Linked DNA regions of Astyanax mexicanus. The protein of the gene in region 2 purifies or fractionates together with the protein of the main gene of each other region. This does not show direct contact. Links are inferred from orthologs where the notes say so. Each region holds a gene or a part of one and is shown on either strand. Other genes may lie near its edges.

The links.
Region 1: the proteins of ncoa6 (region 2) and paxip1 purify together in Homo sapiens (co-immunoprecipitation; 6 studies listed by BioGRID and IntAct, with this or other methods). This does not show direct contact. The link is inferred for Astyanax mexicanus from reciprocal best matches to the Homo sapiens genes NCOA6 and PAXIP1.

What each region holds. Positions count from the first base shown.
Region 1 is NC_064411.1:34,833,601-34,837,357, reverse strand, and holds the start of paxip1 (PAX-interacting protein 1), read right to left. Parts: upstream 2,631-3,757; 5' UTR 2,504-2,630; coding exon 2,423-2,503; intron 1-2,422.
Region 2 is NC_064420.1:49,310,362-49,314,118, forward strand, and holds the start of ncoa6 (nuclear receptor coactivator 6), read right to left. Parts: upstream 2,316-3,757; 5' UTR 2,194-2,315; intron 10-2,193; 5' UTR 1-9. UniProt on the Homo sapiens protein: Nuclear receptor coactivator that directly binds nuclear receptors and stimulates the transcriptional activities in a hormone-dependent fashion. Coactivates expression in an agonist- and AF2-dependent manner.

The sequences.
Region 1 (3,757 bases), on a different chromosome or scaffold from region 2:
ACATACCAGCATGACAAACAGTAAGGGTCTCTTCACCCCTGAAAGGGGAGTCTGATTTCAGCACAATTCACCAACACCAATTTTTTTTTCTCTGCTTTATTTAATGATTAACTCAACTTCCTGTAATAGGTTGAAAAGTCTGGACCGTGGTTTAGTAGGTCTGGACCGTGGTTTAGTAGATCTGGACCGAGACCCCTTTTACATCTGCTACTTTGGTTCAGAGCCAAAATGCAAAGACCGAAAGACAGGACCAAACAAAACAAGCATCCTAACTCTCCACCATCATGTCAGTCTCAATGCAGTGTTGAGAATTACACGTTATCCAAAAAGCTGTTGAATTGAGAACAGTCCTCTAACAGCATCTTTTAGGCAGCTATTCCTTCAGTGAGTACTGATAAAGTAAATGAAATTGACCACCACAAAAACTGTGCAGCAACAGAAGCAAAACTCTTTCTATGGCTTAACTTAACTACTAGGCAGGAGTGTCTAATAGAGCGAACAATGAGGGAACAAGGTGTTTAAAAACTCCAGCAGCACAGCTGTGTCTGATCTAATCATACCATCAGCACAACACACTACTAAAGCCCAAATTATACTTCTGCGTCAAACCTGTACTGTAGCCTACATGTATCCAGCAATAGTGCACTATGCAGCCGAGCATGTTTATAGAAGAAGAGGGTGACAGTCGGCTGGCTAGCTAGCTCACTAACAAAGTTTACGAAGAGACCGATACCTGTCTACAGGCTAGAGCTACATCCACCAGGCTGTGAGGATGCCCACCCCTAACAACACAGTACTGAAACTTAGTACTGGAATCAACAGTACTGAAACTTTTCAAGAACTGATATTCACTCACACATTCCATACCTGCACTACTGCCTATCCTTGCGCTATCTATACCCACTTTAATTTCCCCTACAACTGTGACATTTAAAGAACTGTGTGCACTCGTTCACTTTACCAGCCTTAAGCTTTTATACCACTATAATTGGACTTTATACGGGTCCTTTTTATACTGGTTCTCTCAGTACCTCTTTAATCCCCCTATCACATTTGTCTTGTTTCTGTTGTCTCATGTATGTCTATATCTGTAACCTTGTTGTATAGTAAATTAAGTCTCTCTAATTCTTTTATATTCATAATTTTATTTTACTGTACTTGTAGTAACTTAAGTAATAAGGAGAGTAACGTTTGTTTATTTCTCTGTATGTCCAGTACTTACGCAGTATTGACAATAAAACTACTTGACTTGACTTAACAGTATGTATTACAGTAATTATATGGTGAGTGGAGGCAGCTAGCTAGGATAGCTTTACTAGGTTTGATGTTAGCTAACTAAGCTATATCAGTCAAATAGCTAGTAGCTTACCTCGGTTAGGTAGCTGTTATCATACCAAAATACCACAGCTGGCCATCTATGACAACTTTCAATATACAGAACCTCGTAAACAGACCAGTTAAAAATGATGAGTTTCTTTGTTTTTACCAAATTGAAAACCTATCAAGAGAATATAATCAAGAGAAAGATGGATGATCACAAGCCATCAAACCAAGCTGAACTGCTTGAATTGTTGCAGGAGTGGCACACAGTTATCAAAGAGCAGTGTGCAAGACTGCTGAAGGAGAACATGGCAAGATACATTAGAAGTATTGACTCTGATTTCTTAAAACTTTATGAATGTGAACTTGTATTCTTTGCATTGTTTTACGTCTGAAAGCTCTGCGTCTTTTTTGTTATTTCAGCCATTTCTCATTTTATGCAAATAAATGCTCTAGATGACAATACTTTTATTTGGAATTTGGGAGAAATGTTGCTCGTAGTTTATAAAATAAAACAACAATGTTCATTTTACTCAAACATATGCCTATAAAATAGCATAATTAGATAAACTGACTCAGAAACTGAGGTGATCTCGTTATTTTTTCCAGAGCTTTAAGTTAGCTAGTTAGCTATGTACAAAGTTATGATAAGCCAGCGTTAGCTAACCTAGCTAAGTTAGTTGTAAAGACAATGTTCTGCATTAGCCTTAGCCAAGCTAACAGCTAGCTTAGCTTTACTTAGCTAGCTAACTAGTTAACTACCACTGCCCCAGTCTGAATGAAGGAGGCTGCAGGCTAGGCTAGTCACCTTTAGCGGCTCAACTAAAGATATAAAACATCACCTTTTCCAGGGTTACCAGGTTTCTGTACTGATATTATGGGTTGTATTTTGTCCTGTTAAATATTTTATTAATTAATAAAGCGGAACCACACCGGCGCTGCAGTGTGAAAAGTGCTGCTCGCGAGCTAAGCTAGCTAAGCAGTTAGCTTAGCCTTCTGCTTACATTAAAACACGGTCAGTTAGGCTCTGTTATGCTAACGCTACGTTAGCTCACTAAGCTAGCGAGCCGAGCTAGCCTCGAAAATGACAGAAAACTTCCACCTTCTTCTCAATGTCCCCGACCACGTAGAACTTCACGTCCTTGAAGAGCTCGTCCGGAACCTTCAGCTCCTCCTCTGTCATGATTTAAACACAATCAGGCGCGTATAAATGAACCCGAGCGGATAATACTGAGCATTATTCGGGGACTCAGGTCAGCAGCAGCGGCAGCCCGGGAGACACGGAGCCCGGACAGAGCGCCAAAGCCCGGCCGGCGGATCGGCCATTCTTGCGGAGGGGGGGACACCCTGCTGTGTCTAAGTTTCTTTATAAAATTAAGTTAAATTCGACGTGTTTGAGTATAACATGTTCCTTCTATATTCGAAACGATGTGCATAAAAATATAAAGAACAAATAATTCGGAATTTGGTGGCTAAACATTACAGGTAAATATTTCTCTCACCCCTGTAAAAATGGAAGATCTGTAGTTTGTGGGAGGAGCTGCGTCCTATTCGCATGCATTTTTAGTAGTTAAGGCGCCAAATGTGAAGTGTCAGATAAACAGACTCCTGAGGAGAAGGAGGAGGAGGAGGAGGACAAGACCAGGGACAGATAGATAGACAGATGGATAGACAGATAGATCACTTTATTAACACTAGAACACTAACGTTAAAATTAGTAACACCATCACTAACGTTGGGTATACACTGTATGACAAGTTTTGTAACCCTTCTTTAATTAAGCAACATACAACATCACATAAAACAAAAAAGGTACCATGGATCATGACCCTATAAAAAAGCAGAAAAAATATTGTAAAATCAGGTAATACTTAACAGGGAATGTCCTAACAAAAAAAATAACACTGCTGGGAACTTGGTCTTTGATCCACCCATTCCTGGGTGGATCAAACTCATGCAACTCAGACAGCAGCAACACAATGACAAATAACATGAAAAAATTGAGTGGGTGAAGGGTGGATGGGAGGATGTTGTTTGTTGTATGCAAAGTAGTACATTTTAACAAAATATATAAAAAAATGAAAATAAAAAACTTCATAAAAGTAGTGTGTCGGTGTTTTTGCGCGCGCGTGTGTGTGTGTGTGTATATATATTATTAATAATATATATTATTACTAGATGATTAATATTATCTAGGACTGTCAAAATAACAGATGAATCAAACAATTTGCTGTAATTCTTTGAATAAACTTTTAATAATGGATATTTAAATGTAAAATAAAATATTCAATTAGATAATCAGATAATCACAATATGATTTAATTTATATTCAAATATGTTTGTTTAATTGGTTAATTCCCTTTAACTTTCAAACACAGATTGTGCTTTGTGAAAACTATTCAGGTACCAGCTGAATAAAAAATATATAAAAAGAATA
Region 2 (3,757 bases):
GCTCAGTTACTGTTAGAACAAAAAACAACAGACCTTTTTATATAAACAACAAACAAATTAAATGCTTTACAACTGCAAATAAAAACAAGGTATCTACACCAATAAGGCACACTACATCCAAAGAAGTCAGATCCTAAATTAGTGTTTGTTTTTTTAATACACCATAGCAACACCTTAGCAACACCATTGCAACCAACAGGATATAACAGCAACACCTTAGCAACCACTTAGCAACACCATAGCAACCACCCACGAATCAGCACTGCAAACACAATCACAGTTTCTGCAGGAACTGCAATCTAGTTGCTTTTATTATTAGTTATGTTCTTCTTAGGTCAAAGTACATAATTTGCATGGGTTAACATAAGAAAAACTCTAAAAATTCATTGTCTAAGAAAACTAAGAAAACTTAGACTATTTTTCTCTGTTTCTGTCTTATTATTGTCATTTTAATTACACCTTTTACAAGACCTAATCTTTAAATTAGGGATGCACCAATAAGGAGATTATTTCATGATGCCAATATACTTATTAGTAACTTACAATAGAGACTATACACCATAGTATAACTTGTGTCTAGGCCTGTCAGGATATTTACATTATCGACTTACTAATACAAATACAAACAGTGAACAGTATTTTACTCAGTCATGACTGTAAAAGGTGAAGAATAAACTATATATTTTCCAAAATATATGATTAATGAAAAATATGCTGTGTTTAAAAGGTAATGAATGATTTGTTATACTATTATATTATCATCATGTCAGTGACATTTAGCTAAAAATCTTAAAATGGCAATATTATCATTTATCGGCATAGTTACTGGGACGATATATTGTCCACAAATTCCTCTGATTATTTACTAGCTAGGTAACACAAGCTAGCCCTAAAACTAACACAAATATAACCAACTAGCTAACTAAGCAAATTATGAACGTGCAGCTTAGCAATTTCACATATTTTTCTTTTTATGTTTTTAAACAAAGTCAACATTTTAGCTATTCATGTCATTGTAAATCTCACAAAAAAAGAATCACATAATTGTTGATATTAGGGTCATCAAAAATGTCTGTTCAAGACTGGATAAATCAATAATATACAAACTTATGCCTATACATTTGTACAAATCTATACCTCATCTATCTTGTACCAGTATCTTATTTAAATAAAGTAATGTAATAAAGTAAAATCTGTGTTTTTAAACAAAGTGGACATACACGATCATTGACATTAATCAAGGGTCTCTTCGATAAATCAATTAATTGTGGTTGTGTTCATATACTGTAGGAGAAGAAGTCTATAATGGAATTATTTTGACAGACCTAGACCTGACCCCAATCATATTTAATAATGGTGATCTGGTTTATAATAGTGATTAATGTGTATGTTTGTTCACATGTATAATGATGAACAGTATTTTAGCCAGTCATGCAGACAGAATGAAGAAGGTAAATAATAAACTATAACTAGCTTATATTTCCCAAAATTTATGATTAACAACGAATATGTTGTCTTTAAAGGGCTATAAGTGCTGTTTTATGCTATTATATTATCATTATGTCAGTGATATTTAGCTAAAGGTTCTAAAATAATCAAATATACAATAATATTGTTTATCGTAATAGTTTCTGGAACGATATATCGTCTAGAAAATATTGTTATTGTGACAGGCCTACGATTATTTAATAACTAAGCTAGATAACACAAGCAGCACTGAAACTAATACAAATATAACTACAGTTATACAGTAAACTAAGCGGATTATAAACATGTAGCTCAGCTAACATAGCTATTGTACACATTTCCAGCTCTGGTGTTTTAGTTATTAAATAGAAAATAGTCTCTAATTCGTCTCTAAACGCTTTGAATTCGCTGCAGAATTAAATTCAATGTATATTTTAACGGAGAAAAACGAATTAAACCCGCTCGCGCTGAGCTAACTAACGCTAGCTAACCTAGCTAAACACAATTAGCATCGATGGCTAACTAGCTCAGCTACCTATGCTAAGCTAACCGCTAGAATCTCGTTCACTGAAGCGGCGGCGGCTAACGGAGTTAGCTTAGCTGTGCTAACTAGCCAGGCTAACCATCAGAAATGCCTGTAAACTTCTGGCTAAAACCGTATTTAACCGTGTTTGCATGCCAGAACCCGGCGGTATCGATTATCAGAAGTGCAGTAGAATGATTTACCTTGATCAGTCCATTGGTAAATCGATCCGAATTAATGGTTATTGTGAATTTAGGGAGCTAGCGCGCAAACCGAGCGCGTAGCAGAGCGATCGAGCTTCTCCTTAAACCGAGCGAGCGACTGAGCGAGGCGTATTCACAAAGAAAAGTGCTAAGCTGCGCAGCGTCTACAGCTTAAACTGCTACGTAACTTGCGTAGAGAAGATGATTAGATAGATAGATAGATAGATAGATAGATAGATAGATAGATAGATAGATAGATAGATAGATAGATAGATAGATAGATAGATAGATAGATAGATAGATAGATAGATGTTTTTAATAGGTTGGCATGAGTAGGGGTGGGCGATATGGCTTTAAAATAATATCACGATATTTAATGGTATTTTTGCGAAAACGATACGCTACACTTCTGAAAAATGAAAATTAAATTTTACTATTGCACACTCCAAATTGAGACATTAAACAATACAAGAATCAATGATCCAGAATGTTATGGTACCAATAATGCCCTATACTGGACAGATATAATCTTGTCTCTAATAAATATACAATGGGAAATGAGAACAGTGTGAATTTTTCTTTTTGCAAAAAACAGTAAAAAAAAAGTAGAACCCTGATGTGATAATTAGGGGTGGGTGATATGGCACGATATTTCAGGGTATAATATCGTTCACGATATTTAATAATGTTGGCGATATTATTGGATCTGATACGATATGGCAAAATCCTAGTCATGAGATAATTAGGAAAGGAGTGGCCAATTGTGCTTTCTCAGGGCTCCAGCCACTGATGGCAAGTTTCATTACTGGGAACCGGAACCAGCGATCTCCTGATTATAGTGGCAGCGCTTTAGCCTGCTGGACCACTCGGTGCCCACATAAAATAATAATATTTTAGCAAATGAATGAAGTGAAAAGTGAAAGCCAATCGTGCACAGCATACTCTTAACTGGAAACCACCGTCAACCTGGAGGTTTCCGGACGAAACCCACACAGAAACGAGAAGAACATGGAAACTTCACACAGACAGGGACTAAAACCCAATACCCCAGCCCCAGAGTAGAACATCCCAACCACAAAGCTCAATAGCATTATAATACATTTACATTGTTTTAAAGAGCAATGAAACTTTAATGCTCAATAATATAAAGACATTTGTACTGTTTTTTTTATATATTTTAATCCAATTGACACAACACGTACTATGGATTAAGGTTCCCATTTTCTGCTCCCTAAATATTCAGTTTTACTGGCGTTTTATTCCGAACTGTGTGCTGCCAAACATGGAAGAGGAACTTAAAAATACTTAAATAGGATGCTCACAGATTTTTATTTATTATTTTTTTTTGTTCTTGTTATTGAAACGTTCACTGTGTGCGCTTTGAATGAAGGAGATGTAAAAACAACACAACCGACATTTGTGATACTCTTTGGAAAATATTAAATAATTTTTTTTAGAAATGTTTATGTATCATTTATATTACGGTATTGATTGAGTTATTCTTTAAAAACTAATTTGTGAATAAACAAATTATTACAGTGTCTGCCTAATATATAAATTTGGC